2 linked regions of the Caenorhabditis elegans genome follow. The protein of the gene in region 2 purifies or fractionates together with the protein of the main gene of each other region. This does not show direct contact. Each region holds a gene or a part of one and is shown on either strand. Other genes may lie near its edges.

Region 1 (14,895 bases), on a different chromosome or scaffold from region 2:
TGCGTTTATGGAAATTGAAAGATTTCGAGAACTTTCTAGAGGAACTCGATTCTACAAAAATATTAATTTTCGGCAACCAAATTATTTTTGTTGGAAAAATGCCTTAAAATTTAACATGACACGTTTCAATTCAAAAACCAAACATGTTAATAAGAAAAATTCAAAATTTTGGGTTTAGAAAACAAAAAAAACTTCTGAAAATGGAAGGTGGCCAAGTAGACCTGACATGAGACGTGAGTCTTGTCAAAAATAGTTAAAAAAAAAGCTTGTCAAAATAAGTTCATATATGAAGTTTTGTACAAAGAGTAGTTTAAAAAATTTAAGATATTTTATATACAAACCCACCTTTCTCCACGTGGCTGATAAATGACGTTTCCATTTTTCACAGCAGTAGGAAATAATATGTGATAGCAAAAAGCTATAAACAAAAATGGCAGTGTTAAGCGCAACACTACAAATAGCTTGTTGCTCCGGAGTTATTTCCTTCAATCCTGATAACATCACACTGAGCACAAGCACTACATTCATGAATCCCATGTAAAAAATTATCAGGTTGAGCATCTAAAACATTTGGAGATATTAAAGTTATCGTTGCGTTCAAAAATTAAAGTTACCCGAAGTATCCTTATATTTTCTGTTATTTGGTATCTTTGAGTTAATGAATATGTAGTTATCACTGACGACAATATTGCGTGGTTTTTGTTGTACTGCACTTTGTTGTAGTGTTTTAAATACCCGGTGACTACCAGAGCCAATGCATTTAATGATATAAGACATATCACCACGTATATTGTATTTGAAGCGTTACGGAGAAAATAACAGGAAATTGTTCCAAATGTGATAAGAAGGAAAATCAAAGAAATTGAAATGTACTTTCTTGGCTTTTTCTCATAGTTTTCCACAAAATACGTGGCAAAACACCGTTCAATAATCATGCATGGTAAAATGCACATTGCAGATGCCATTGTGAAAATTGAGACATTCATTGAGGCAGTGAAGATCTTATCATTGTAGACTTTCAGATCTTAAAAAAAAATTATAAAACAAGTGAAGTAGTTGCTATTTTTGCCTCAGAGTCTCTTTTAGTCGCATTCTTGATAGTCTTACTCTCAAAACGATCCCTTTTTGATTAATCTTGAATATAATACTAATTTAAAAAATATGCTATCTAGATATTGTGAGGTTATAAAAAAATTCAAGTTTTTAAAAAAATCTGAAGATTTTCCAAATTTGCCAGTTCACCAAAACTTTGACTGAAAGTTTCAGCAAATCAAAAAAGTACTTGGAGGTTTCCTTTACGTTTATTTAGAGAGTATTCTCACTGAAAATAGTTGTTTAATGCTTGTCGAGAATCGGTTAGATTAAAAATCAAAAATTTATTTTCCTAAAAAACAATTAGTTTGAACTGTTGTTTTTTGTCTGGTTTTCTTTCTAGGAAAATAAATATACGTAACATCAACTGAAAAATATCTCCTAAACATTTCTTACCGTCTATTCCAAAGAACATATCTAGTCGCATGGTGATATTTGCGATGTTATCCATAATATGAATACAATAAATATAACCTAACAAGATAGTGAAATTGAAATGAAACTGTTTTGCACATAGCATAACCCAGAAGAAAAAGGAAAATTGGATGGTACTAAAAATTAATATTAAATTTTGTTTGAACCGATTTTTGATACTTACTCAATTATGTATAAGAAAAATTCTAGATATAGATAATTTTTTAAATATGGAAAATATTCAGTGTGGTTTTGAAAGTGAGTTAGGTTGATGTAGTGAATAAGAAGCATTATTTACAGAAAAAAATGAATCTTAATCTTTCCGGAAAAATTGAATGTATGAATCCAAAGCTTTTCTTGGTCAAAAAGATCAGTCAAAGTGAAAAAAAAACACAAATTGTATTCAATAGGCCTGAAATTATGAGCTGTCTCAACACAAAAATTTGAGCGAATACCAATATTATCTATACAAAATCTGAAATACGTAATATTAAATGAAAGAGATAAAAAACGGAAATAAGGGTAATCAGAACAATAGCCGCAATAAGTGGGATCTCTGAGGAATAAGCTGATAACAAAATCTATGAATTAGTTAATGAGAAAAACACTAAAAATTGAGCGATAAATAGTCTGACACGCTTTCGTTGTAACCGTGGAGTTCAAAGATTTTTTTAAATTGTATTCTCTGTTGCAAAACATCATTGCCATTTTTATGGTCAAAAAAAATAAAAATAGTACATATTTAAAAATAACAGTGAGAGAGCCAAAATATGTGCGAAGTTTTCAGTAAAAACACTTAAATTTTCCGAACCAACACCATTCGACGGAACTCTTCATCAGCTTGAACATTGTACATCTCGCACATTTGAACTTCTTCTTGAAGCCAGCGATCTGTTTTCTGAAAAACATTTCTTTTTCAGAATTAGCTAAGTTATCGGAACTGTGACAAAAGTCGTACATAATCTTTTAGTCTTTTAACATTTTTTGAATAAAAAAAGAAGTTTCAAAATCAAGTAAACGAGAAATAAATTCAAGATTTACCTCCATTAAAAGCAATGCCTCAAAAACTTTCAACATTCGATCTGTAGGTTTATTATTCTCCAAATAATATCCTCTCAACTCTCTTTGAATAACTTTTCTCATTCGATGACACATTTCAGAGCATTTTTCTGATATATTTGTGTATCCTGGATCCAATAACATCAGTGCAAGCAGAGCCATTAATTCCATTTGATCAAATTTCAATTCGAACAATGGATATGCCACGTGGACATAGTACGACTTCCAATACGGTTCAAATATGCGATAAACATCAATATCCTTCATACTTTTCCCAATCATGCAGTCTTTATAAAATTTCGAAATTTGTTTTGCTGGTTTTCCATTCGGCGCGAAAAATGTGTGAACATCCGATTTTTTCTCAACAGCAAAAATAGCCGACTCAAAAAATGTCCACTTTGGATAAAAGTTTGAGAATAAATTCAACTTGTCCAGATCATTAAGGTCCTGCAACTCTAGGAATGTTTTCTCCAACTTTTTCCATAAAATTCGAGAATCCACAATTGCAATACTGGTATACTCGAAATAGTTAATCTGCTCCGAACTCGAAGATTTATGAACAACTTCTCTTTCCTTGGCAAGAATTCGGTAATTACTCAGTGCGTTGAGAGTTCGATCATTGTTGCGAAGAGCAATTTGTGCCGTCTGAAAAATTTGTTTTTACAAAAATTTGAACAAGTAGGTGTCTACCTCAATAAAATTTCTGCCAGCTCGCGGGAGATTGTGGTCGCGTTTTTGTTGAACTTCTGAAATTTATGTCATTGACTATACATTCAACAATACTCCATATTTGAACTTTTAAATTAAAGTTAAATTAGAATAATGGAAAAATAATGCATCTTAATAAACGGGTTTTTAAAAAGAATAGTCTGGCATCATCGTGCAAAATCACAGTTTTACAATAGATGAAAAAAAAATTTTTAAACTAACTTGTGATCATCATTCCATTTTTCACACACATCTTCATCCTACAATATCTGCACGGAGCCCGCTCCGCTTCACAATTGCATTTTTTCAGCTGCTTTGGAGAGTTTACATATCTTCGGAAAAACGCCGCACACGATCTGTTTCAAATAAAGAATTGTGTATCAAATTTTACTACCATCAAAACCAGATACCTGCAAGAAACGATTCCAAAATGAAGCTCTGAAGACGACACCTCACAAATTTTGCAAAACATGTTATGCCTAGAATAAATAAAAATTTGAAGGCTGAAATCCAAACTGTGTATACTATTTGACTAGTTTTCACATATTCTGATTGTTGAACTGACATTAAAACGCGAAAATGGCAAATCTGAATTTAAATCCTTTTGGTATGTGATCCCTCTACAGTGAATCACAAACCATAATGTTTTCTACACCCACGCGTTTTGTTTTATTTCTCATAAACTGTGACTAGGCTGTTTGTTGCAATCAGATTGTGGAACTATTTATAAATGTCATATTTTGTTTTGGAAATAATGAAACTAACTAAACTAAAACCTACTTTGTGCATCCAATAATTGGCAAATTCAACAACTCATGGAATGTCTGATGAGGTAGTGATTAGGAAGTTTTCGCAAATGACTGTTCAACAAGGTAATCAACAACTGCGCTCCACTGCAATTCAGAAACATGTGTTTCTACCAATGAGACATCGACGACATCACAGATCAATGAAGGTCAAAATATGGCATATGGCCGGTTGTAGAACGTAATGCACTATTAATTAGATAACATCTTAGATCGTCTAGATGATTTTTTAGTTAAGTTGGCAAATTGTAGTATTCTTCAGTACAATGGATTTTTTACATCAGGTTGCTAATAATTCTATTTTAAAAGTAAGTTGTTTTTTTTCCGATAAGTGAAAACGTGTTTTTTGTTCAGGCATTCAGACATAATATTAAGAAATAATTTCCCAACATTAAAGTCAAAGTTAAAGACGTTCATAACATGCTTGAAAATTTTTTCGTTTGTCTCCGATTATTACAATAATTTTAAAATGCTCATAATTTCAGTTCCCTTCACCCTTCAACTGTAAAATATGTAATCGGCCGGCACATGGTCATCATTGTGACGTGGCAACTTGTAAGGGCTGCAAAACGTTTTTCCGTCGGATGTATTTATTGAAATCTGAGCTACGGTGCTATATAAATAGTGACTGTTTTGATTTAGACAAGAGAAGTTAGTTTGAATTTTTAAATTTTAATTTACCGGAAAATACTTTTCTGTATTTCTCATTAAATTCTCAATCCGTAATTACAATTTTCAGCTGAACCACTTCTTCGTTGTCGAGCTTGCCGCTTCAAAAAATGTCTTTTAGTTGGAATGAACCCAAATGCTTTAAATTTTCGAACAACTAAAAACTTGACTCAAAGCTTAAAAAACTCCAAAGAAGAGAAAATTAAAGATGTGATTAACGAGCTAACCTATTTGGATTGCAAACTTGAGCAATTCAGACTATCGGCTTATAACCCAAATTGGACCGAAATTGGAGGACTGGAAGATTTGTTACGTTGCTCCAGCAAACTGAGCCTTTCTAATAAATTTGGGGTAACTGTGTTAGATTCAGTGAACAAGTATAATTTTGAAGTTTTTCCCCGATTTTCAGCCTTTCCCTGGATGGCCTTACCACCCAAATCATATTTTTGCTAGCTCAAATTTGGATTATAATTTCAAAACTTATTCACCTCATAGGTACGATTTAAAAAATATGAAATTTGTCAATAAAGGCAGTTTTCCAGAAAACAGTGGAGATTTTTCAATTTGCTCACATCAATCGAATTCTTGAAAACCTTCCCATTTTTTCTAAAACTTGACACAAAGGACCAGTTGATCTTGATGAGGCATGTTGTAGTTGGTTGTTCAAATTTACATTCTGCATATTACACATTGAAAAATAAATATGAAGATCTTCGCCAACCGGATGGCACTCAACGACCCAAAAAATCGTAGGTTCAAATTTTGGCAAATAATTAAAATCAATTAAAATTCAAGTGAACCCCAGTATTCTACATTTGCAATGGTGTTTTATGCTCTGATGAGAGTTGGAGTTCACTACATTGAATACTTATTGCTCAAAATGATATTCATCTGTAATCCAGGTAAGAATATTTTCAAGTGAGACCTGACCCCCAAACATCGAAGTTCACGTCAGAAATTAAAGAAAAACTTTTTGTCAAGTTTTCAGCGATTCCCAATCTGTCAAGCAACGCTCAATACAAACTAGAAAAAGGTCGAAGTTTTTACTCTGAAATGTTGCTGGTTTACTGTCTTCAAAGTTTGAATTCCAGCGGCCCAACTCGATATGTAGATCTGATTGGAGTTATTGCTACTCTGGAAAAGCAGCAGAAACTACTGAAAGATCTTCATGTTTGTCTCCTTGCTCCAATGTTGTCAATTCTTCCAAAAGAATTCAGCAGGAGTTTGATGTATGAAATGATTTTTAGTTAAGATTTTCGAATTGCAATTTTGAGAAAGATCTAATGAAACATTCAATTGAACTTTAATTTCATCCATAACCGATAAACATGTGAGAATTCATTATGCGGGATTATTTAAGCTTTTGAAAAAAATTAGAAAACAATCAAATTTAATTTTTTCTAGATTTTTAGTATTAAAAAAATGGGCAATTGACAGGACTTTATTATCAAAACAAATCCGCAGTTTTAGATGCTTCCCAATCGCGGTCAAAATTTTCCAAAATTGCAGCTCCACATATTCCTCCCATCATAGTTCTCATACATTCCTTGTCTTCCAAGAAACTGTTGCGAGGCATTGTTGAACTTGGATTAAGTAAACTGTCGATGACGCACTTATAACTTGTCGAAGTGGGACTAATCATGACTTGGAATTTGCAAAGTGAGAACGGTACAAGAGTTAGCTTTTCACAACCTTCTTTGTATGCATTGGCATTTGTCTGGTTATGCTGGGTGTAAAAACAACTTTTTTGAAGACAATTCTGAAATGTTTTTTTCAACTTCAGGCACAATAACAACAAGCTTCTTCAGAAACTCAATTAAAAATTATTATGATATTCCAAACAAATTTCGAATACCAAAACAAATTCTTGATTTTATAAAATCACACATACAAAAGTGTTACCTATGCCTACCTCGTACCTATAAAAGTTCATACTGTTAAAGTTCATCTGGTTAAACGACAATGACAACATAATAATCTGGTATACTTTGAATATAAGATAAAATATTCACTATCAGATAAGTCAAAAATTACCTGCAACTCATCACAAACATCCGGTCTGTTTTCAACAGCAGGCTTCGTCTCATTTGCATTTTTGATAAGCTTATCAAGTGATCCAACTACACCATTTCCCAATTTCAAGAGCACAGGTTGGCATTGTTTTGATATCATTTCATCGTGTAATGAAGAACATTTTTTCTCGTCTGGTTTGATGCTCATAATATCCACAAACTTGTCATAACTTGAGTTCAAATATTCCAGTGCTTTCTCATCACACCTTCTTTCGTTGGCGATACTCACAACACACGATTTTCCATTAATATATGCATCACGTCGAGTTTTCAAATCCGTCTAAAAGTTGACGCATTATGCTAATCTGATAAATGCCAATCCTTTCAAAATTCATTTGAAAACAAAAATAAAAAAAGGCATACAAATTGTTATTATGGAGTAGTCACGCATCCGGAAAATACAAGTAGGGAAATACTACTTTTTCCTACTATTAATTATTTCATATTTCTATCAGGTTTCGAACATTAGTTCCTGGAGTGTCCTAATAATTTGGCCCCTCATAACAACCCTACTTCTTATCAATATATAATGATTACCGAGAAAAAGTCAAATTCGACTGTGCAATGGCGTGACTTGTTATAGACCGTCTCATAAAACTTTGGGATACATTCTTGCATCTTGTAGTTATTGAACTCTATTTTTTCGCATTTTCTCTCATAAACTTCCTTGCTTCTCTGAGCTTCATCACATTCAATTTCCGCAAAACAACTCTGAAATCGTTACGATAATGTGTAAAAGTCTTAGTAACAAAAGCATACAGTAATTTTTTCACATGCGCTACTCATGTTCTTGGCAATTGGCACAGTAATTTGAGTTGGTGGATATTCCTCTGTTAGATACATCAAATCGTTCACATACCGTAGGCATTTTCCTTCTAGCACAAATTGCTCTTTTGGTGTACAAACTCTGAGGGGAGAATTCAATAGGTTGGATTTAGAATCAACAAAGTTGAAATATGACATTACTAGACATACCAAAAGAGTTGGTTTCCGCATTTTAGTGGGAGCAAAAAATGAATGAAATGTGATTTATTTATAGTTAGTCGCAATAATCGATTTTAATCCAAATTTAATAGGTATCGAAAAAACGTTGTTCTTTGTATTATAAGCAGTATATAAACTGTATGATGAACTGTACTGAGTCATAAATTTTTGAACGAAAAGTACTTTTTATCAAATAAAAGAATCTAACTAGAGAAGGTGCCACTGGACATGTAAACGAGGCATGTTCCATTTGAAAGCGCACACTGAGAAATGGTTAAGTATGAATTTTAAGCTCAGAACTGATCTTTTAAAGTGCTTCAAAAGCAAAATTCATTCTTTTGTTTAACAAAATATCAGATTTCTGGAAAAAATGGGTTCTTTTCAGAGCTCTCCCAAACGTTTTATGAAATTACGAAAGTGAAAGGCATTTGCAATCGAGCTTCTCTGAGCTCTCAGATAGCTCACTTCTGAAATTTCGCAGCTCAAAATTCATATCTATCCATTTATCAACACTGTCTTTTGAATGAAGCATGTTTCATTCAAAAGTCCGGTAGCACCTACATTTCCTGCTCTAGTATAGTCTTTATCCAACTAGAAACAGAAAACCTTTGATTTTAAAGACACAAAAAATGCCCGCTGCATACAATTCAGTACATTGGATTTTTTGCCGCCCAGATCACAAACTCATTTTTTGTTTACTTGCTCGTTAAAAAATCTGGAAAACACTTTGGAGCATATCGTTATGTTATGACAACATTTGCTTTAAACTCGTTGATGTATGCCTGGATTGAAATAATAACACATCCGGTTGTGGAATAAAATTAATAAAAGAACTTTAGGTAATCCATATAAAAGGCCTAGTATTTATTGTCTACATGGATAGCCCTTTGAAATATCATAAATGGATTGGAAACAATATTACATGTAGGTTAATTGATATAACTTTAAAGCTGAAAACAAAGTATTACCGTTTGAAAAGATATCAAAACTTCTCATTTCGAATTATCCAGGCCTTTTTTGCGGTTCATATGCTCTTGTAATATCTCTCCTCGCAGCTCAGTTTTTCTACATATATATCGCGATATGCAGGTATTTTGAAATATTCTTATAAAAATGAGTTTTCTATATATTAGGCCGGACGCATTACCTAGCATTGAAGGTTTCAAACTGAGTCTGATATTTATTCCGTGTTTTATTTGTTTCTTTGCATGGAATTTGTTGGTTTATTTTGGAATGGCCAACACCGTAGAGAAACAGGAATATATTGAGTAAGCATTTAAATATGTTTGTTTATAAAAGTTAATAACTTATAGAGAAGAACTGAGAGCTTGTTATGATGAAGATTCTACCAAGATCTCTTTTATTGCTCCAATGTACTGGTCGATTGGGGAAAATGGGGAGAAAATTTGGAACATTTTGGAAATTGTGTGCGTTGACCACAAAACCAACATGCGCACTTGGATGTGCGGTGATTATTGTAAGTTGTAATATACTAAAAGTAAATAATACCAATTGAATTAAAGCTTTGTTAAACATTTGTTCTTTTTCAGATTATTTGCTTTTCAACAATTATATTTTGTGCAACAAACCTATATTCATCGTTGAAGAAAAATCAAGTTCATATGAGTGCAAAGACAATGGAATTGAATCGCCAGTTTTTCAGAACTCTAATATTTCAGGTAAACGGTAGTTTATTTAACGTGATGTATTTAGTGTGCTCCACATATATAGTGATCTTCCAAAACAAATTTTTTAAAATCAAATTCATAGAAGTCTTCACAAATTATTGTTTTAGATGACACATTTTAAATTTACACGACCTTTTTTTTTTAATTTTTGTTGCTTAGCATGCCATTTTTCGAAGTGTATGTTAGCAAACTGGCGAGCCTTGCAGCAGCTAGTGTGGCAATATATCCGTCGCTGGAGCCACTTATTGCAATGTTTTGTATCAAAGATTTCAAACGATATGTTACTTGTGAGTGGTTTTTCTTTTAGAGACGTCGATTGAATGAAAATCATTCAGGTTCCCGCACAAAAGTGCTTCCTGGAAGTACATATCAGCTGTCAACTGGGGCATAATTGCACATTAAACAAAAAAATGGAATTACATCCAAGATTCATAACGATCAAGGTTTCTTCAACATTCCTTTTGTAAAATAAAATTCATAATTATTATCGAAATTCTCCAGTGCAGCAGCTCCACATTTAGCCTCGATTCCATTTTTAATGCAGTTTTTCAATACGACTGGAGCATTTTCCACAGTTTTCGATGTTTCGTAATTTTTCACACAGTTGCTTAAAGTTGAATTATCGTCTCGAAAAAAGTCGAGGCAATCGACAAATTTTTCATTTATATTGTCCATTTTTTCCAACTCGCCACAGACTACGTCTAAATATTCGCTGATCCCTTTCTTTTTGGAGAATGTACAGGAATCTACCAGACAGTCCTGAAGAAGTTTTTAGAGTTTAGATTACAAAAAGTTTTAAACAATGCACCTGTACATACATGCAAATCTTTGAGGTGTCTGAATCATCATGCTTCAGCAAATTCGTAAATTCATTTGCTTCGTCGCTTTCGGATTGATTCATCACCATTGGTGGCATAAGTTTTGCAAAAAGAGTAACAAATTGTAAAGAAAATTGAGAAACTGGCTCATTGCAGCGAAGCTCGTTTAGCTCATAGTACAGACCAACACAAGGTTCTCCATCAGGTTTAATTGAGATTAGATCCACAAAGTGTTCATATTGAGAAGAGAAATACATAACTGAACTGTTAGAACAATCATTGGTTACAATTTCCATAAAACAATCCTTTCCAGAAAGATACGCATTTCGCTTGGTTACAGGATCTTTCTGAAAATTATCAAATTCAAAATCCAAAATGCAAGTAATTTCGGTAGAAAATCATCCATAATTTATCGACGACCGACATTTCAGCAATGCTAGAAAACTCGGAAGATGTCGGAACATGTGTGCTGGAAAATTTGACAATTTCAAAATTGAAAATAGCCGTAAATTGTTTTATCGTTTGTGAATTTAAATTCGTTCCATCTAAACAAAACTTTCAAAAACTCACTGCTAACCAGTCAAAGTTCTTTGTACAGTTGTATGTGTCCTCGAAAATTGCGCCATAAATTTCTAGCATGCACTCCTTAACTCTGGCATTCGAAATTTTCATTTCGGCGCATTCCCGCTCAAATTTCTTTTTATAATTCGCAGATTCTTGGCACTCATACTCTCCATAACACTTCTGGAAATATACAGTTAAAATCGGAAAACCATCGGACAAATTCAATTATTACAATTACACTGCTACACAAATCCGTCATATTTCCAATAATATCATCTGGTAGAATTTTTCCATCGTAGTCGTCATTATATGAATTGAGTTCATTTGCAAATGGTTCACAATTTTGTTGAACTGATTGAATGTCTTGCAATGTGCAGTTTTTTAAAGTAACATTGCTTTCTGGAGTGACAGAAACAAAAAGTAACAATATAATAAAAGGAGAAAAGTGTTGCATTTCACACAAAAAAGAGTGGTGAACGTATCGGACCAGGTTTTAAATAGTTTTGATGGATTAATTTTTGATCTATTGAATACTTGTGTACTTGGCAAATCGGGCAAGCTTCCCAATAAATGTTTCCAGAATTTTACAACGAGTTGTGGGAAAGCTGCTGTACTATGGTTGATAACATTATTTCCCTTCCCTTAAGCAAAAAAAAATTCAAAAATTTAGACACTGAACTTATCTATAATTTGATCTATCTAGTAGTAAGTAAAACTGGGCAAACACTAATTGACTATCTTTTCTTTGACTACCTTTGCTCATTGACTACCTTTCGGATCATTGACTACCTTTTGCTCATTGACTGCCTTTGCTCATTGACTACCTTTCGGATCATTGACTACCTTTTGCTCATTGACTACCCTTCGGCTCATTGACTACCTTTGCTCATTGACTACCTCAGATCATTGACTACCTTTTGGCTCATTGACTACCTTCAATTGCTCATTGACTACCTTTATCTAATTTTTCAGAATTTTCAGTTTATTTCGCTGAAAAATCAGAATTTTCAATAACATGTTACTTTTTGATGTCTAAGAAGGTCGTGCACTTTCTCATTTCCTGATATTCCGGAAAAAATAGAGATGAGATCTGATGTATAAATGCTCATTGACTACCTTCAAATGCTCTTTGACTACCTCTATCTAATAAAATTTTCCAAAATTTATTTTTTTGAAAACTTTTCAAAATTTGATCAGATATTGTAGAAAAGTGCAATTTTTGTCGTTTTTCTAGTTTGGATGTTCTGCACACTATTGCAGACGAAAACCTGAGGTATAGTAGAACCCCTAAGCTCAAAAAAACGCACTCACTTCGGATGCTGATATCTCCGTGGAAAAAAAATTTATGGCAAAGTGATTAACTACAAAGTTGTATATCTTAATCTAAAGTGCAACTTTGTAGTTGATTGTTTTTTCTCAAAAAATTTGTTGGTCGAGATAAAGTTGTGTAAAGTTTGGCACCTTCATGCTTGTATTTTCTTCTTCTTTTTCTGTTCATATCTCATCCAACAAATTTTTTGAGAAAAAACAATCAACTACAAAGTTGCACTTTAGATTAAGATATACAACTTTGTAGTTAATCACTTTGCCATAAATTTTTTTTCCACGGAGATATCAGCATCCGAAGTGAGTGCGTTTTTTTGAGCTTAGGGGTTCTGCTATACCTCAGGTTTTCGTCTGCAATAGTGTGCAGAACATCCAAACTAGAAAAACGACAAAAATTGCACTTTTCTACAATATCTGATCAAATTTTGAACAGTTTTCAAAAAAATAAATTTTGGAAAATTTTATTAGATAGAGGTAGTCAAAGAGCATTTGAAGGTAGTCAATGAGCATTTATACATCAGATCTCATCTCTATTTTTTCCGGAATATCAGGAAATGAGAAAGTGCACGACCTTCTTAGACATCAAAAAGTAACATGTTATTGAAAATTCTGATTTTTCAGCGAAAAAAACTGAAAATTCTGAAAAAATAGATAAAGGTAGTCAATGAGCAACTGAAGGTAGTCAATGATCTAAGGTAGTCAATGAGCAAAAGGTAGTCAAAGAGAAGGTAGTCAATGAGTGTTTGCCGTAAAACTGGCAGACTCCAAAAATGTCGGGACATGTGTGACACCTGCTCTACAACTCACACACATCATTCAGGCATTTTTGATTCCCAAAAATACATGAAAAGTCCACATGATATAAATTTTTAGACCCCCGACAGATAACGGCCAAATTTTACACTTTTGGATCGTTTGTATTCGATTCACACTTTTAAGAATGAAGAACTGCATGTCGCGAATAGCATGGAGCAGGATCTCCATTATTCACGACTTAATAATTATTCTATAATTATTGCATAAGTATTACTGTAATTGAACTCTACTGGCGAAGATCACTACTACGAACAATCCACATCCACATTGCTCTGAGAACTACATCATGCAACCAAGAACAAGGACGTCAATCCATTAAACACGTGAACCACTACCGCATGCACAAAAGGATGACGGACGCGAGCAGCCACGTGGTGACCTTTCCACGTCTACACCGACGACCACAAGACACGTGTACAACACCGCCCAACAGGAGATGCTCATCGAATCAGTCTTAACTTTTTACTCGCTTCATGTTCTTACTTTATGTTCTTGCGTTACTTGTCTATTAGTGTTACTAGTTGTCTATAATAAATCCTTGTAGAGTCACCAAGTGTACTGTTAGTTTAACTTATATAAAATACCACTGAACGCACTGCAAAACACTGCAGGCTTTCTGGAAAATGTTTTACCGCTTTTATACCGCTTGTAAATAACTTTGTTTTAAAAAATGAATATTTCAAAAATTTACTGTTAACCAAATAGTCTTGATTTGCATGATTTGCATGCAAATTTACTGTTAACCAAATAGTCTTGATTTGCATAAACTGATTTTTATCAATGTGGAATCTATAATAATGGTTCATATCTTTTCATTAACATCCTAGATTTACTGAACGATTTTTATAGTTGTGTTTCATTCAACGAGTTAACTAAATAAACATTTATAGTGTCTTGATAACTTTCCTCCAGAAAAGTGATAATGAAATTCTACGGAGAAAGTACACTTTTTGATCGACAACAAATTGCATTCTGAAAAATTATTTCCTACAAAATGTATGTACCACGAATGTTGCAGAAAAATCTTATCCTTTTACTTTAATTAATATTTTAATTGAATTAAACTATTTACTATTAGGGCTTTTGATGCCTGACTCATGACTGTTTTGGCCAATTGTTTGCATTTTGATGTCAACTCTTCTCAGACAAACGCTTAGTCGTCTAATTAGATTTCAACCAAATATAATGGGGACATAATTCATATTTGTTTAGAAATTCATGTTTGATTATATTTGCTCCATATTTTATTATAAAATCCATGTTACATTAGATTTGTTCCATATTAGATTAGAAATCCATATTTGATTAGATTTGTTCCGTATTGGATTAGATTTAAACCAATTTCATTAGATTTGTTTTATATTGGATTGGATTTCAACCATATTTGATTAGAAAATCCATATTGGATTAGAATAGGAAGCCTATTAATTATGTCCCCATTTGGTTGAAATCTAATTTTTGGTTGAAATCTAATTAGAGGACTAAGCGTTTATCTGAGTTGTGTTAAGTGTTTGCACATTGTAAAGGGTTATCTCTTTATTTTTTCTAACTTTGAAAGAAGAAATGGTTGAAATTCACTTCTATGAGACCAATATGACCAAATATCGTAGAAAAACATTTCAACCTTTTTTGAAAACTTATTATTATGGTCTCATTATGTTTTAAATATTAATATTCAAGCACATTAAATTTCTCAGGGAAATTTAATATTAGAATGGTATCCATCATATTGAGTTATAGGGGTCTCAAAGCAGCTGGGTTCAAAAGCAGCTAGCTGGTCATATAAAGAGACCACCACGTTGTAACTTCCATGAACATTTTGTATGTTCTTAAAAACGCCAAGTCGATCGCCGGACATCTGAACTTGTCTATTGTGACA
Region 2 (18,554 bases):
ATTTTCCATAAGTTCAAATGTTCATTCTTCTTTGGATCCATATATTTTTTCAAGTTATTCGCCGTTCGACTGTGCACTTTTGCGATTTCTGATAATCTTTTTAGTGGGAGGTCTAGTCTAAAAACTGGTTTATTTTATTATTTGAAGAGATATCAGACAACCGTTCTTCTCACCTCGATTGTGAGAATGTGTCAATGATTGATTGCAGCTTTTGACCATAGTTGGCTTCTGCTTCAGCCCTGTAATTGATTGCAGTTCTAGACGATTGTAAGCTGGATTTAGTTGTAGATCCTATTTAAGCAGTGAGAAAACTCAAACTGGGTTTAGTTGGCAATTTTTTCAAAACTAAAACCAACCAAAATACGAGCAGCCAATGTTGAGAAATGGGGTGCCTCACTATTAGAGAAAATACGAAAATTGTGTTGTTCTCATTGTGATTTTCATATGAGTGCGTAGTACTGAAGGGTATAAAGACATTTTTTAGAACCAGAAAAAAATTTTCCTTTTTTTTCAGAAATCATTCGATCATTCATTCAATAGAAACATTTTTCAGGAATTCAGGAATCAGGAATATCTGACGTGGCAATTTTTTAATCTCGATATCATGGGAAATGTTTTGAAAATGAAAATGCGCATTAAAATATTGAAATTTTAATTCTAAAGCCCCCATTTCATCAATGCGAAAAATGTTTCAAAATCCTTAAACTTACAAATTGGCTGTAAATTCAAGCAATGCATAGTCGTAGCGAGTTGTCATTTGTTCCGGTTGATTACTGAAATAAATGGAATATTTTTGAAATTAAGTTTGAAATATTGAAAATATCGATGACGGATAGTGAGTGACACGGCTGAAATGTCAATTCTCTTGTGATAACAAAATGTGACGCTCGCTCAAACTCTCAAAAAATGAATGATAATCATTTTAAGAGGAAAGGGTGAAGCAAGAGAAAAAGCATTCCTCTTAAAGAGAGGAAAAGTATAAATCGATTGCTTATCATATCACACGGCCTCAATTCATTGTAGAAGAAGATGAGAGAAAAAGGATTCAAAGAGAGGGAACAACGAAAAAGGAGAAAATGATCGATGAGTGATCGTCAAAAAATCTAGGCGATTTGGGGGGACAAACTTTATGTTGGATACAAGAGATAAATGAAGTTAAGGAAAAAACGAGGGCACATGGAATTAAATGGATAGTGATAAGTTTTCATCCGGCCAGTAAATTCCCGTATTGCAACTTTGGTGAAGGTCGTCTAGGTAGGTGAAGGTAGTCAATCCTTTTCTTTTGATCAAAGAAATGTTTTTCAAAATTTTGGAAATTGGAGGTTGTAACAAACGGTGCAGTTTTTATTTCAAAAACACTGGGCATAAATGTTCATGTATAAATTGAAAAAAATCTCTCAATTTTATAGTTTAGACGGCAATAAACTCTACTAAATTTATCAAGTATACAGATGAACATTTACTTTTTTTTAATTTTCAGAGAAGAATTACATATTCATAACATCTGTTATAAAGTTTTGAATGTCTTGAAAATAAAGTTTACAATTTTCTGAACTTTTGGCGCTCTTACTATTAGAGCAAATATGTTTTTTAATGTCAAAAAATTGAGAAAAGAGAATAAGTAAAAATGATGATGTACCAAGAATGTGAAAGATCAGTGATTATTGATAAGGTGATTCAAGTAGTTTTTACTTTTCCCGATTCCTTAGAAGTGATTTTTTTCTGAAATTTCCAGTGATTTTTAATAAGTTCACAAGTTAAGTAATTAAGGAAAAAGACTTTAAAACAGTGGCAAATGTGTGAAAGCCAACATAATAAAAATTGTTAATTCAATTGATTGATCTTACTGGAAGTTCATAATATCAACCAATAATTCATAAAACAGCAATTCGAAAAAATGCCTCAAAAGTTTTATAGAAAATTTTTTTGGCGCTCGTTTCAATGCATTCTAAATCAAGAATAGTATATCCAAAACACATATGTATGTCATCGAGTTTAGTCATCGAAATGGATTTAACAATTATCATGCTTCTTATATGAAAATAATTGCTTATTTCTGGAAATCTCAAAATGAGCTCAACGCGCTGCGGCTCTCGAACAAAATAGCGGGAAACTGAAAGTGCAAATTAAAATAAAATTGAGTAAAGCATAGTCAAATAGAGTCGCCAGAATCTCCATTTCTCAATTCCGAATGACCTTTTCAATGGGAAAAAAGAGGAACGGAATGGGAAAATAGTACACGGAAGAGGGACGCCTGTGGCAGATGGCCTAACCCGATATAATGCTTCATGCACAGTCTCGACGTTTTTTTTGGTTCTTACGGACAGACTGAACCCCCATAACCTATTTCCCAGGTGTCAAAGAGAATATCATGGAATTATAATATTATGACAGTTTTATTTTTCTTTTAAACAAAGATCGTTAAGTGAATCTAAAATAAATCTATCTAAACAACAATAAATTAAGTATTTACATTCGTCATAGGGGTAATGTTATGAAGCTCTCGCTCGGATTGGTTCTTCTGTTTCACTTGACACGAATAGATGTGCTGAAAATTGATAATTATAAAAAATTATATAAAAAAAAGATATCAAAACATTTGAATATAAAATCTAGGTAGGGAAGACTGTGTTTATTCAAATTTGATTTGAAGAATAGCGGTAGACGGCAGTTCTCCAAAGTGACATGCGGTATGTTTTAATTATTTTAATTTAAAACAGAGTACATTAAAAGTTTAGCCTATATTTGAACACCTCAACTTACAGTGACTTCAAATTGATAAAACAAAAACTTACAAATACAAGCATACATCTGCTCAGATTTGCTGAAAAATCGTTGTTCCTCAGCACACAAATAGAAAGTTTTGAAAAATTCGTCTTCAGGTGGCAAGTAAAGATCACATTTCAACTTTCGAGTACATGCATTTCTACCAGGATACAGACATTCAAATACACATTCTCCTTGACGAGCGGCTTTTTTATTCATAAACTGCCTTGATTCATCTGGATTATATATATTTTTAAAGATGAAATGAAACACAATAATACCAAAATCTCCAATTTTGTCTTCAATCGTTGATATCATAATATCACGAAATTCATCCATTCCTCTTCGACTCAAAACATTTGATTTTTGGGATGTGCATCCTCTAAAACCATACATACTAGAGTACGAGCATTGCTTCATTCGGTTGAATTCGGGTACAAATTGTTTCATACAACCAACGAATCCACATGTAGGGAATATTTTCTGAAAATATAAATAAAATTTGGAATATGAGGACTAACACCTACTTCACATTTAGCAAGACATTTCTCAACTGGTTCCTTTCGTGCCGCTTTCAGGCATTTTTCATAAGGTTTACATAGACATTGTTTGATAGCTTCACAGTCAATTAGTGGAATTAAAAAAATCAAGACGATTAACATTCGCATCTTTGAAAATGGAATGACATGTTTACTGTCTAATTCGTGTCCTTATATCGTGCCTAATTGCAAAGTTCAAATCGACTGGGCGGGTGGTAGGTAGACAAAACAAAAAACAGGTCGTCTATCATCCCAGGTAAATGAAAAATGTTGAGGTGCCTCCTCCGAGTGACCAATTTTTAAAGTGGTTTTCACGGTAATTTAGCACCTCTGTACGGTATTGCGTGGTTAATGACAGCTGATTGGCAATGGCGGAGACACAAACAGCCAGTACTCACGCGGTGTTGATCTTTCGTTGCATGAGTGGCAGACGGCAGAGTTAGCCAATAGGCCATGGGTTCAACAACTAGATCGGTATAAATGTACGCTCATGTTAGCAATGTTTGGGGTACATGTAGTGTTTTACTTTTTTGCTGGCTAAATATATTATTACCCATGCTCGCAATTTTTTGTGCAATTTTGTGATTCTTGCTCCAAAAACACGGTATTTACCCGGTCTCGATACGACAATTTATGTTAACTACGATAAGGTATGTGCCTTCAAAGAGTACTGTAATTTTTAACTTTCGTTGTTGTGGAATTTTCATCGATATTTCAAAGTTTTTCCCACGATTTGTCAAAAATTTAACAATTTCATTTTAGTTATTAATAGTTATGAATAAGTAAATATTTTTTTAACAAGAAAAAAAATTCCGCAGCAACTAAAGTTTGAAACTACAGTACCCCTTAAATGCGCACATCCCTTTGTATTATAATATATATTTTTAAAAAGCGTATTAAGAGAGGGTACCGTATTTTTGGCGCAAAGATTTCAAAACTTATCGTCTGGGTAATAACCCATATTGGTATAGAATCGACCAAATGGCAAGTGTGTTTTCAGACACTTGTGTAAACCTTACATAATAATCCATTAACAATGGAAACTTCTTCGCTTTGAAATTAAGTGCGATTCTTTAAAACAACATTCCATCAATTTCCAGTAATCCGCATGAATTTTAAATCGAATCATTCCACATTGCTGATTGTTTTTCTGTGTTCAACCTTCAAAAATTAGAAATTCAAACTCGAAACATCCGTTAAAAACATAGATCGCATCGGTCAGAAAGTTATTTTGATTTTCCCACTGCGTACGTACCCATCAATATTCTTCCCAATTTTCGTCTCGATCAGCTGCCTGACATGATATATTTTTGATTTCAAAATATACTTTATATTTATAATCTGGTATCGTTTCCTAATATGTTCTACTTCCTTGTCTGATTGGTAAATGATGTAAAATGAAAATCAAGAAACTAAAATTTCAAACTTTCCCCTCGTTTTTTCTGTTCCCGATCATCAATGCAATAAAATCACACATTTTAACGAGTTCTCACCATTTTTCCACAGATAACATCATTTTGGTAGACTTTGGAACCATTTTGATCAAATTTCGAGGGAATTCTCAAGTGTTCGTGATTACGGTAAAAGAGGCAGAGTCCAAAAGACAGATGATAAATATGTTTTCAGGATAATTTTGACACGTGACTTGTTGATTGGTAGGCTATGGAAAATCAAAATATTTAAAAATGAATTGAAAGTATTATAATCAGTTGACAATGTAATGACACATATTATATTATCAGTTGAAATGTGATTAATTGTGATTATCAACATGGTTTACTGGAAACTCGGAAATGATGTCAAAAGTTAACAGAGGAGTAAATGAGGTTTTACTAACATGAATTCTCTACCTTTCCATCAAACAAAAATTTGAAAATCTATGAAAACTAGGACTAATAAGAAAGATGAAAGAAGACAATTTCAAGAAATGAAACAGTTGTTTCTTCGGGATATTCCAAACACAATAGGAGGCAAAATTACTTTGAAATATTTATAGACGAAGAAAATATTTCAAATATCGTTGAGTACATTTCGACAAAATCCATTATCCACATTCAAACTTTTTTTTATTGAGTCTCGCAAAAGATGCAAGAGCATCAAAAGGAAGCATTCATAAAATTAACAAATCTCATAGTTTCCAAAATGTTCAAAATACGGCACAACAGAATTTTTACCAAAGCAGTGAGGAATGCCCCAAACTCGGCGGTATTTTTCCAATTTGCTAATTCCAAATTGCTAATTTTTATAAAACGTTTCCCTAGACTGAGTTCTGAAACCCCTCAATTCTTGATATAATTTTTGTTGTAAAAGTACAGGTTGTACCCAAACACGTTGTTCCAATAAAATTGCAAAATCATGATATAACTAACAAAACGTACTTTCTCCTTTTTCTTCAATTTCAAAGAAACAAAGGCACCGCTCACCTAGAGCACGCCTTTTTCGCGCCTAACTCAATTGTATGTTATCAGTGAAAAAAGTTAACGATGCTCTCGATGCTTTCTGATAAGAAATTAAGAGACATTCAGCATTGTTTCTAATGCATTTCACCCGTCGCGCAGTTTCTCCAAGAGCTTCATTTGTTTTTGATCGCCACGTTGGAACCATCAACTCATCTTTGTCAAGACGTCCAAGAATATCAGAGTGTGTTGAGGAAGAAGAAGAAGACGGTGGTGGTTTTGATCTTTTTGAAGAAATGAGACAACCAATTCAGGAGAATATTCCAATGATTATTTTAGAAGAAGAAGAGGATGATAATGATAATCTTGGTGAGATTTTTTAAACTAATAGTTTTATCAAAATATTTCGGGATTACAACTTTATAAAATGATTGACTTTGAGACTTTTATCTGAAACTGTGTGCAATGTGACTTTTGTGTAAAGGCTCTGCCGAATCATGTGATCAAAAAGTTTTCTTCAAAAACGTTCTGTCATATAAAGGTTGTTAGAAAAGATTTTTCTAAGTTATATTAGTTTTCAGTGCACAATTAAAAAGCTAACTTTAAATAATTTCCATCTAAATGTGCACAAATTGGTCGAGTTTAAAAAGATGTGAGCAAAAAATTATTGGTATATCTTTTTGAAATTTTTGGTTTTACTTTATCTTCTATTAGGAGCTTTATATGTTTTTAAGGTTGTATTATATTTTTAGTTTTCAACTTTTTAATTATTTTTTAAAAAAATTATGTAACAATTTTTCCCGTGGCGATTCTCATCCGAAAAAAAATCAGTGCAAGTTTAATTGCGCTTTTCAAAACCTGGCGAAAGTTTGATAACTCCCTATTTCCTCTTCAAAAGTTTTAAATAATTTTTAGAAATATTTTTGATAAACTATACCAGCTGCAAAGAATATCTAGACTTCTGATACCTGCAAAAGAAACCCATAACATATTTAGAGTATTGAGATAGAGCACAAACTAATGTGTATTGTACCTAAGTTAATTCCATAATATACTCGAGAACATGTACTTTTTATTATTATTCAATGTTTTCATGTATGCCAATTTAAAGAAACACTGAATTGTCACGTAACTTTAGATTCTAGAAGTATAACATTTTGGTAAATAAGTAAACATTATAAAGTGGGAGATACCTCTACCTTTGATCCGAGATTTGTGTGAGTAAGTGGGTCAGTTTTCCTGATTGTTTGATTTATATCATTGTTTGCTCTTTCAAAAGGAACTGGACTAATGTAAACAAGTCCTAAAATTTAGATGATAGATGGATAGATGTAATCTTCTCGAATACGCCTTGTGCGCTGATAACAACTTTTTGAGTGTTTTATGATTCAAGATATAGAAATATAGATTTACAACAATTATATCTTCTGTCAGTTGTCTTCCTCATCACTTACAAATACTTTGAGTGCGATATGTCATATTTTTGGAGTGTAACACATGGAACCCGTCTCGTGTCATTTTACACATATATTCCCACGAGTGTCACATGATGACGTAGAATATCTGTGTCCCCTCGCAAGTCTCTTTTGGTCTTCGTTTTTGCCCCACGTCCACAGCTTTTCCTCTTTCTCTTTCATTTTTCGTGCAGTCTACGTATATTCGTTTTGCTCAGTGTCTAGCTCATAGTCGATATTCGTTCTATTTCATTCACTTTGGCTCCCTCAGACCCCAAAACTTTTCTTTTTGATTTTCTGAACTTTTTCATCGATTTTCGATTGTTGTTCATTTTCCTCCATTGAACATCTAAAAACCAGATTTTATAAAAGAATAAACAAAAACGAAAAAAAGAAGATATTTCGATTTCAAGTGAAGTGCATCCGCACGAGATATGCACTCAACTTCATGTCATAGAGAAGCTTCGATTGTATTTCCATCCGACTTTTGAACTTCCTAGCGTCATTTTTATTTCTCAATAGATAAGTATGAAAGTTGTATAGCGCTTATCTATATAGTTTTTCTCTTTGACAAGTTGTTTTATCGCATATTACTTCCGATTGACCAAAAACAAAAATTATTTTGCTTAAATGAATAACTTTGTAGGCTGTAGGCGGTGAAAAACCAAAGTCCCTAACTTATTTAAAGAAACTAGATAAAAAAGTTTCAAGATTCAAGAATTTATTCAAACTCTTTCGACCAACTTGATCTATCAACCTTTTAATCTTTCTCTCATTTTCCCCCTATCAATTAATTAAGAATTTATCATTTGGCGCACGTGCGATAAATAGTTCATTTCGGAAACCATTATTTTCTAATTTCGTGTTTACTCCCTCTAATGCGACGTTTTGCCACCGCCGCACTTTCGAAAGGTGAAATTTATCAATGAGATTCGAAAAAGAAAACAGGTTTTATCTAACTTTTGCTAATAAAGATTTGTTTCAATGTAGCGAGGTGGTTTTCATTTCCATAAAGTCAGGACGACTGTGAAATTCAACAATTTTCGACTGAATTGCCAAATTTTCATTTATTCCAGTCACAATCAAAAAAAGATAAGACGGGGTTTCCTAATTTTATGGTTTAGACTGCATGTTGGTTCTTTGCCCTTATAAAAATATGTATTATGTTGCCACTTTCTTTTTTTTTATTAAACATGTTTTTTTTGTAATATAAACTCGTAAGATTCAGTGCTTACGGAGGTTAGACACACTTTAATTTCTACCGTAACCCACTTTTCTCATCAGCACGAGATCTCGCGAGATTTCTTTTCTTTTTCAAGAGTAAATTCATGTTTAATACATTTTCAATTAAAAACTTAAATAATTTTCAGTGATGTCGGTGGCGCGACCCGTCCGCGTTCACTTTGCGGTCGACGTCGAAAACTTGCACGCGCATCAATCGGTGTACGTTGTCGGATCGAATGATGTGCTCGGAACTTGGGAAGCCACCCGGGCGATGCCGCTCGTCCAAGATCCTGATAGATTGTATGTTGATATTTATAGTTAATTAAAATGAAAAAAAAAACCAATTATATTAGCATGCGCTGGAAGGGTTCAATTGTGACTGATGTGCACCAGTTGAAATTCCGATATTTCATCGGATACAATTTAATGTCGGACCAAGGAGAGAGACTTATCGTTGGTGAGTAATTCTATCAATTTTACCTCAGAATTATTTCTGATTTCAGACAAATGGGAAGCTTTTCTACATCCTCGCTCTACTCTTTGTCTTGCTGAAAGCCGAAACGACGAATGCCGTGTTGATCGTGTTGATCTTTTTGGTTATTACGCAGGAAGGAAGTGTGTTTCTGATGGATGGCTCCAGTACCCTGATGAGAACCAAATTCTGCTACGGCTTCATGGTAATGCGCTGAAATTCTATAAAACAGCAAAAGAGCGGAAGAATTGTCGTGTTAAAATGACTCCTTTGGATGTTCGTTTCAAAGCGGTAAGTTTTTTATTCGGTTGTTTAAAGAAAACTCATTTTAAATTATTCTAGCCTCCAAGCGGACATATCAGCTTCAGCTACGGCGAAGATGAGGAAGATGAAGAAGAAGATCAAAATGTTCCATCAAATAAATGTACACATTCTGCTACTCATGTCGCTGTTCTTTCTGATCCTCGTCCAAAATTCTACGACCAAGAAGATACTGGTGTTACATTTAACAACAATAAGGATTATTTGGTGTTCCGAACACATTGTTTGGCTGCTGAATTTCTTGCATTTTACATTGAGATATTCTCGGAGGAAAGAAAACGAATCGGAGCTTGCTATGCTCTTCCATCTTCCCTTCAGGATGCGTCTGGTATCATTCATTTGCCTTTCATCAATTCTTCTGGGCGGCCAATTGGACAGGTTTCGATAGAATATCTCTGCGTTCGTGCTTTAACGCGTCTCGATGGACCACAGTTTATGGATCAGACATATTGCCGTCATTGGAAGAAAAGAAATGCCCTAGAAGTTGGGCACAGAGGCGCTGGAAATTCCTACACAAAATTTGCAATGGCCAGAGAAAATACGATTCATTCCTTGAATACTGCTGCCAAAAACGGTGCTGACTATGTAGAGTTTGATGTTCAATTGACAAAGGACAGAATCGCTGTAATCTATCATGACTTCCATGTGCTCGTTTCGGTAGCAAGAAGAGATGGACTTGCTATGCCACCACCAATGACTCGTGAACAATTGGACTCTTCCAACCTTGATTATCATGAACTACCAGTTAAAGATCTGAAACTTTCACAGTTGAAGCTTTTAATGCTTGATCACTTAAGCTTCCCACAGAAGAAAGAAAATGTAAAGAAGCTGGTCGAGGCTGGAGAAGAAGAAGAAGACTTCAAACCATTCCCAACTCTTCTAGAAGCTCTTACAAAAGTGGATCCTGATGTCGGATTTAATGTTGAAGTTAAATATCCAATGATGCAGAATGTACGTTTTCAGATTTCCAGAGTATGACAATTTAAACATTGTTTTCAGAACGGCGAACATGAGTGCGATCACTATTTCGAGCGGAATCTTTTCGTCGACGTTATCCTCGCAGATGTTATGAAACATGCTGGAAATCGAAGAATCATGTTCAGCAGCTTCGATCCAGATATTTGCTCCATGGTTGCCACGAAACAAAATAAATATCCAGTGCTGTTCCTCTGTGTTGGTGAAACTCAACGATATACTCCTTTCCAAGATCAAAGAACTAGTACTTCAATGACTGCTGTTAATTTTGCAGCTGGAGCTGATCTTCTGGTGAGTGTTTTTGTTCGATTTATTCTTTCAATTTAAAACTATTTTTAGGGAGTTAATTTCAATTCCGAAGATTTGCTGAAAGATCCAATGCCTGTGAAGAAGGCAAACGAGTTTGGCATGGTCACATTTGTCTGGGGAGAAGATCTCGACAAGAAAGAAAATATCAACTATTTCAAAAAGGAGCTTGGTGTCGATGGAGTTATTTATGATAGAATCGGAGAAGAGGAACGTCGTCGTAATGTATTCATCGTCGAAAGAGAACAAAAACGTGCTCTTCTCAGCTGCTCTGGTGCCAGCACTCCGCAACGAGCTGCATCACCATCTCCAGTTTCTTCTGAAAACAATAATACATCTCCTCCACACAGCGCCAAATTAACACGTAACGCACAATCTGATTCGGCTCTTTTGGAAGAAAATGAAGATGATGTAGAGGTAGGATATCCATAGTTGATTCGTGAAAAAAACGTTATTTTCTTTCAGCACTTATCTGACAAATTGAACATTACTGGTTTCCAATCGGCTCCCATGGTCTCTACTAAGTAGCCATGTCATACAAATTTTCCTTTTCGTGATATTATTAATTTTATTTGCATCTCTTAAAATATCATCCTAAGTTTAGTGTGCATTTTCATTCATTTCATTTTTCTATTATGAACGTAATTTTATTGCTTTTCTTGGACCTTTTTTATACCTGAAGTAACATTGAAATAAGTGGACGGAAAATTTAAAGGGGTTTTTTAAAAACTTCTCAATTTCCACTAGTTTTAAAGTTTGACCATGAATGATTAACGGTGAGAAAATGTGATTTATGCAATTGAAAATCGAGAAGAAAAGTGAACAACTAGAAACTAGAAATGAACTCATCGGAAGAAAACAGTCACCGAAACTATATAAAAGCACTAAAAACTTAATTTCGTAAGAATTATTATAAATTTTTGCCAGTCAATGTTGCATAGAAAATTCGTGTCGTTTAAGCTCTTCCAATAGACTTCAGTACATCAGCAGAAGTTTTGAATGGCTGGACGATAGTTTCATCAATAGTGGCTCCGCGAATCTGAAAATGTGAACAATAATTGACGAAAAAATAATGAATGTTATTACTTACCTCTTGAGCTGGGGTGTTGTGATAAATATCGGCGTAGAGAGCTTCTGGTGGGAGAACACCGTCTGATGTAGCAATCTTCAACGCTTCATCGACCTCTTTGCGAACTTCCTTGTCAATAGCCTTAAGTTCTTCCTCTGTGGCCAATGAAGATGTAATGATACGGTCCTTGAATCCAGTAATTGGGTCTCTTGTTTTACGAACTTCTTGAATCTCTTCACGGGTACGGTAGCTGGTTCCTGGGTCAGACATAGAGTGTCCATGGTATCTATAGGTGGCCATTTCCATCATAAGTGGTCCTTTACCACTGTCACAATATTCCTTAGCCCACTTGGTAGCCTCGCGAACAGCGAGAATGTCCATACCATCAACCCAGATTCCAGGAACATAGTCTCCTCTAGTATAATACTCGGTAGAAGCAGATGAACGTTCAGCAGTAGTTCCCATTCCGAATCCATTGTTTTCGCAAACGAACAGAACAGGAAGATCCCAAAGTTTAGCCATGTTAGTCGCCTCGAAAAGTTGTCCTTGATTAGCGGCACCATCACCATACAAAGTAACACATACATTCTTTTGTTCACTGAAAATAAAATAAAATATTTAGATGAAAAAATATGAGTTGTTCTCGTAAAAAAATACATCAAAATTTGTTAACATACCGGTATTTCATGGCCAATGCAACTCCAGCTCCAAGTGGCTGTTGTGCTCCAACAATTCCGTTTCCTCCATAGAAATTCTTTGTGTACATATGCATGGATCCTCCTTTTCCGTGAACATTTCCGGCAACTCTACCGGTCAATTCAGCAAGAACCTCGGTTACGGTAGCTCCAAGAAGCCAGGTCCATCCGTGACAACGGTAAGCAGTGATGACGGCATCTCCTTCTGTCATTGCAGCCTTCATTCCGACGGCACAAGCTTCTTGACCAGAGTAGAGATGACAGAAACCGCGGATTTTCTTCTCCTTGTACAAGTTTCCAGCAGCAGACTCCATGCGACGAATGACCTGCATGTCACGGTAGTACTTGAGAGCATCTTCTCTGTTCAAGGTGACAGAGGTGTTTGGTCCATTGTCAAGTTTATGAAGTTTGCATGGCTTTGTGTGGAATGATACTTCCGTGCTCGCAAGACGAACTTGCTGTGTGCGGATTCCACTGGCAGTCAAGGATTGAAGTTGTCTCGCGAATAAAGACATTGCCGTCGACCAAATACGTTCCAGATGTACCAAGCTACTGAAAGCAGTAAATATATTTCAAAAATAAAAATTAATCGGATTTGGGATGACTGGGAACGTATAAATATTATAAGTTATTGACATGTAACAAATCACAAAACAATACGACACCGTTCGTTATAAACCTACAGAAATTTAGTCATTCCAGGTTCAAGGCTAAAATCAGAATATGTGAAGAAATTCACAAAGAATAAAAATATAAGTATGCGGATCGGAGACCGCAATAGAAGCCAAAATTTAGAAAATAAGTAAATTAGTATAAATTTATTCACATTCAAGGCACTACTCGTGTTTTTTAGGTTTGATGAAAGAGGGCAAGAATACCAACTTTAAGGAATCCATGCAGAAAATGAAACCGAAACCGAAAGATTAGACCATTGAGAGACCAGAAAAACTTATAAAATGAAAGGAACGCGTGAAATTTACAGACATTTTGCACATGTGCAATGGTCAAGTACAATAAATACAAAATTGGGTAACAATAGAATATGATAGAAAATTATTTCTTTGAATTTCTTTTCTGGCAAATCCATTCCTGAATCTTTGCCTTCAACTCAGAATCGGGAGAAAGCTCATTGTGCGACAAGGGAGCACGATTAAACGGATTATTGGGTGTACTGAGAAGATGCCTCTCGATGACTGCACGATCCATCACGTGTCCTGATGGCAATTTGACAGGATCAACCATAATTGCATCCATAATAGGATCCTTGAACTCTTCTGGTACATCATCATACTCTTCTTCAAGCTCAGCTTTTGCCTCATACTCTTTTTTAACATCTTCGGCCAAATGTTCGAAACTTTCGAGTTGACTGAATCCAACAATACTATTCTTTCTCATGCATTCAATCGCATTATGGAAGAATTCAGGACTGTAGGTACGCTGAAAAATAATTAAAATAAATCTCTTTGAATAAACAAATGTGTTAACCAACCTCGTCGTATGCTATGTATTTAACAAATGCAGGCATATTCAGCTTTAAATAGATTGAGATCAGCAACGATACAAACTCCCGTGGTTCCCATCCATAACTTCTTGGATCCTTGACTTTCAACTCGGAGGCCTTGCTACCAATGAGTTGCGATAAATTGTGATTCAACATTGCAGCAAGTCTTTCGCCGAGAACCGGAGTACGGAAAGGTTCGGGTGAGTTTACGGTAATCGATAGTAGCAATTTAAGATTACTTTTGGCTGTTCCAAGCCATCCCTTCACTTTACGTTTTGCCTCCTCGTACACGCCGAGATCCTGATTACGGATTTCTTGATCTGTGTTGTCCCATTCGACTTTGCTGAAAATAAAATTTATATTTTTAAGTTATCATTCGAAATAGTCTTACTTCGCCATCTTTTTCTCAACATCATGGATACTCTTCAAACCAGACAAGCTCTCATCTATACACCATGTTGCATCGTTAATCACCATATTGACAAACCGAATGAACTCTGCTCCGCATTCTCTTGCCATGTCCATAAACTTTCCTTTGTAGAACATATCTTCCTCCATTTTTTCCAACATGTACTGGATATTTCCACGAACGTTAAACTTTTCATAAAAGTCACCATTGTCTTCGAAATCCGAGTAGAACTTTATCATGCACATCAATAAATTTTCTTGTGCCATTCGAAGTCTGACCACGTTGAACCATAATGGAGGTTGAATAGAAGACAGCACTCTCACCAGTTTGGAAACGAGAAATGGGCTTTTGATGTAGTGATATTGTGTGAAAAGGACCGTCAGACGGGAAATCCAATCCGCATTTCTCTCCATGAGCAGTTTCATTCCATTGGAAATAGCGAATATGTAAAAATCGAGAGCATCCTCTAGAAAATATTCTGGGAGCGCACAAAACATTTGTGATACTTCAGTTGGAAGTTGACTGTCGTCTCCGAGCAAATCCAAGTTATCACAAAGCAAATTCAAAATGAATTTCATCTGCTTATCGACAAAATCCATAGAAGATGCCATTAATGCAGGATCTTGAGCTTGTGTCTTAACACATAAAAGATGACGAGACATGAGCTTCCAGTGTTCAGTCTCATAGTTCAACTTCTTTTCCACCTCAGCTCTCTCGAATCCTGACACAGTATTTAGTTTTTCTTTGAGCGCATTGATCTTATGCTTGAGCTCCTTAAGGTGTCGAGAGTATTCACTTATTTGATTCATCAATGGAGGAATAACGAGCCTCTGTGCTGCAATTGTCAGGAAGAAGCAGACTGTAGAGAAATGATATTCATCTGGACGATCTGCTGGAAAAAGAAAACAAGTTAATTTTTTGAGAAAGAAAAATGAAACTTACCGAATTGGCTAGCAAAAGCGACTGCTCCTGATTCGTCCATTTTGAGACGAGTCTCCTTGGAAATATTTATAAGCGAACTCGGTAAAAACGGATAATCTACGATAATTTTGGACAAGTCGATTTTCTCGGAAAACATGTACATCACGGACAAAAAATTTGTCATATAATGATCACACAAGACATCTGAAGGATCATAATGTGAACGAGTGCGAATGTCATTGGTGCTTATGATGGTGGCAATCCATCTTAGAGTTTTGTTGCGACTTCCTTGATCCGAAGCAAGCGGAAGCATCAATTGATGAAGCATAGTTCGAATTGGATCCATTCTTTGGAAATACAGTTTCTGCTCAGTGTTGACTGATCCATCATATTTTCTTGCATCTTCTTCACAATCCACAAAAACTCGATGATTTGGACGCCTTGCTGATGATTCGAGGCCGTACGAAAAGAACGGTCCTAGGAAGGACATTAAACCAAACTCGCGTCCTTGTATTTTTTCGGACGGCGTTGGGAGAAAATCTTCTCGATTAACAAGTAGGTTACTCAGTGGGCGAGGTCCGTTTGAAGGGAGTCTGATACTGAGAAGCAAGTTCATCACACGAAGGATCTGACGAACAATTTCGTCCTTATTGTCTTCAAAGCGTTGACAAATAATTCCGCTCCGCAAAATCCCGAAAATTGGATTAAATGTTTCTGTAATAGCGTCTTCATCGCATTCATCTGTACTTGCAAGGTATTCAACCAATGTTCTTAGAAAAACATTTGACACCGTATCCTCCAGAAGTCTTTTTGTGAACACCAAACTAGCATGTTGGCTGCGAAGTTGGCTCTCCAAGTAGCCTCTCTGTATCATCACAAAAACTGAGAAAACTGCTTTCCTGGTAGATTCGAGAGTTTTCTTGTAGCAATTTGAAGTACCGCTCTGAAAATTGTTAAATTAAAAATAGAACTATATTAGATAGAGTACCTTTCCAAGCTCATGATGGCAACGAACAAAATTGATTAAGAGAAACTCGATGGCGTCTTCTTCACGACATCCAGCAATGATATCAGGGTCGATGAAATTGAACGATCTTGACAGCCCCCTTCTTGATCCATCTTGAGATAAAAGTACAAACTTTGTGATTATTTCGGCAATGTTCGATTGCAGACACTGAGGAGAAACATCAAAATTCAGATTTTGAACATCGATTATCGCATCGGCGTAACGAAGCATTCTGTCATCTGATTTACCTTCACAGTCAAAGAGACTTGTGAGGAAGTCTTTGCTTTCAACATCTGCCTGAAAAAAGAACTAATCGCCTATGAGTATATAAAATGTCAGGCAAAAACGCACCACAGAAGCATCACTTATGTCCATCGGCTGCAAGCCTGCTTTCTCGTCTTCAATCATCTACGATTTCTGGAAATTCGTGATGATCACGTGATTTTGATAAGTAGAGTAACGATAAAGAGAATGGTGAGAGGTCTGATAACAAATATTTTACGGTAATGGGAACATTTATGAGACGGAAAAATTAAACGCAGAGGATTGTATGAAAACAATATTGGACTAGAATTGTGTATAGAGGAAAACATAAAATTATTTTCGAGAGCAAAAACTGTAGGAAGACATTTGCACCGCGCGCGCAAGAGATAGAAAAATCGAAGGAGCAATGCAGCTGCAAAGACGCTGACATTTCGGCCTCTCAATGAACATGCAGTGGAGCGCGTTTGCTGCACTACCGAGACACCACATTTTTGCAGGAGAGAAACATCGGTAGAAAACTGAATTCGGAAGAACGAGTGTTAAATATTGTATCTTTATGATTCTATTTTCAGACACCACTTAATTTGAATATTTTTAGAGCAATAAGAATTTGAAGGGGCAGATAAATTAAGCAACAAAAAAGTATATAAATGAACGAGACTGTGGATGGAACGCACATTTTTGATTTTACAAAATTTTATTCTTTAATAAATATTGTTTTTTTTAAACGAGAATAAACCTCACTTTCAATAAAAATCGTTTAGTTAACTATAGTTTCAAGAGGAAAACAGTAGCGCAACTCAACAATCGATTGTGTACAATTGAGACCCGAGGGACGTCATTGTGAGACTCACCCAATTCTAGACATTTATAGGCGGGTACCTGGTCCACCAGCAGATGTCCTTCAATACGATAAAAAATCAATCAATACACACGTTTGTTGCTACTCTGATGCAATCGTAAATATTCCGGGATATGGCCAGGGTACTGTAGGATTACCGTGGATTATTGTACTTTTAGAAAACTATTGAAACGATCAAAAAAATTCATATGGCCATATATGGTTTGCCTTGAAACTTCTATGTAATAGTGTTGTGTTTTATTCTTCAGATGATAGATTTTTAAATTGATTGAAAATTGAAAATAAATTGAACTTTTTTATTCCAAGAATACAGTAAAAGTTTAATAAACGAGTCTGAAAATCTTCAACCAAAAGAAATCAAAGCATCCGAACATCTTTTTTCACTGTAAAATAACAACCACATTAAATTCGAGTGTTTTTTTTTTGGAAGTTCCACATTGGAACAAATTGAAAATAAATTAATGTTTATGTTATTTCATAGTTAAATAATCTAATATTAAAATAATGAATTAATAATGAGATCAGCCAAGATAACATGTATGGTTTTAATGTAAATGTAGTCTAGATATTTAACTAATTACGCAACACGGTTTCTTTTTGTCCGTCGCCAGTTCCTTTGTTACAGAAATTTCCGAATTCACTTTTGCCAGATTTCCACCTTTCGGAATTGATATTGTAGAATTATTAGTGCTCTCCAAGTATTTGGCGTTCTGGAGAAGTTTGTTAAGAGAGTTTTAAAAATAAAAAAGCATACCCTTGCTTCAACCAGTTTTACTATTTCATCAATATCTGGCCATGAATCTGATTTATCGTCTTCAATGTGCTTGTAAAGAATTTCTCCTGATTTATCCACAAGTACAGTACCACCTTTTTGAGAAATGTAAGAAACTGAGTCTTCTGAGCTTGATGCTTCTTTCGCAACAATTGAATCTCCTTCGACGAGAGAGGCTTCCACAACCTGAAAATTTCCAATTTATACACAATGATTGCTTATCCTTCCCACGTTGCAATTTGATATCAACTTTTTTGCTCAACGTTCGCCAAAGAATAAAAATTTGTTTGAATTTCCGACAAACTGTTACTTTCAACAAACTCTTTTCCAATCTTGATCTTGAAGCTTGAAATTTTGATGTGAATGTTTCAAAGTTGGATAAGAAAACTTTGGACCATATTTTTTTTTCTTTCATTATTTATTATATTTTTGCCAAATTCATGAATTTATTCATATTTTTTGTTCAAAAAGGAAGTTAGATAAAATACCTTTTGTCCCCTTTTATGAAGATAATGAAAATAAGTCATAACTCTTACCTTGCAAAGCGTTCTCCATCCATTATATTCCAGTGCAGACTTTCTATTCATTTTTAATTGTTCTTC

The links.
Region 1: the proteins of gpcp-2 (region 2) and C12D5.9 fractionate together in Caenorhabditis elegans (co-fractionation; one large-scale study listed by BioGRID). This does not show direct contact.

The regions. Positions count from the first base shown.
Region 1 is NC_003283.11:7,682,161-7,697,055, forward strand, and holds C12D5.9 (T20D4.11-like domain-containing protein), read right to left. Parts: upstream 7,829-14,895; 5' UTR 7,817-7,828; coding exon 7,580-7,816; intron 7,532-7,579; coding exon 7,358-7,531; intron 7,101-7,357; coding exon 6,783-7,100; intron 6,508-6,782; coding exon 6,196-6,507; 3' UTR 6,033-6,195; downstream 1-6,032. Other genes in the region: sre-11 (Serpentine Receptor, class E (Epsilon)), read right to left, coding at 346-561, 615-1,024, 1,489-1,643, 1,691-1,797; nhr-94 (Nuclear Hormone Receptor family), read right to left, coding at 2,303-2,404, 2,548-3,210, 3,256-3,311, 3,496-3,629, 3,684-3,745; nhr-152 (Nuclear Hormone Receptor family), read left to right, coding at 4,346-4,387, 4,565-4,730, 4,819-5,099, 5,158-5,243, 5,291-5,497, 5,544-5,650, 5,737-5,999; C12D5.10 (T20D4.11-like domain-containing protein), read right to left, coding at 9,931-10,251, 10,301-10,657, 10,881-11,054, 11,107-11,328.
Region 2 is NC_003280.10:8,060,660-8,079,213, reverse strand, and holds gpcp-2 (Putative glycerophosphocholine phosphodiesterase GPCPD1 homolog 2), read left to right. Parts: upstream 1-5,839; 5' UTR 5,840-5,841; coding exon 5,842-6,070; intron 6,071-8,525; coding exon 8,526-8,679; intron 8,680-8,732; coding exon 8,733-8,836; intron 8,837-8,882; coding exon 8,883-9,142; intron 9,143-9,193; coding exon 9,194-10,123; intron 10,124-10,171; coding exon 10,172-10,438; intron 10,439-10,486; coding exon 10,487-10,870; intron 10,871-10,918; coding exon 10,919-10,981; 3' UTR 10,982-11,238; downstream 11,239-18,554. Other genes in the region: K02C4.5 (FCH domain-containing protein), read right to left, coding at 1-117, 174-239, 711-757; K02C4.2 (DUF19 domain-containing protein), read right to left, coding at 2,493-2,548, 2,796-3,002, 3,048-3,249, 3,294-3,434; pdha-1 (Pyruvate dehydrogenase E1 component subunit alpha), read right to left, coding at 11,409-11,492, 11,544-12,120, 12,200-12,769, 12,901-12,914; Ubiquitin conjugation factor E4 ufd-2, read right to left, coding at 13,271-13,654, 13,707-14,061, 14,110-15,019, 15,070-15,991, 16,037-16,363, 16,406-16,462; T05H10.8 (peroxiredoxin-like family protein), read right to left, coding at 17,750-17,890, 17,935-18,138, 18,489-18,554.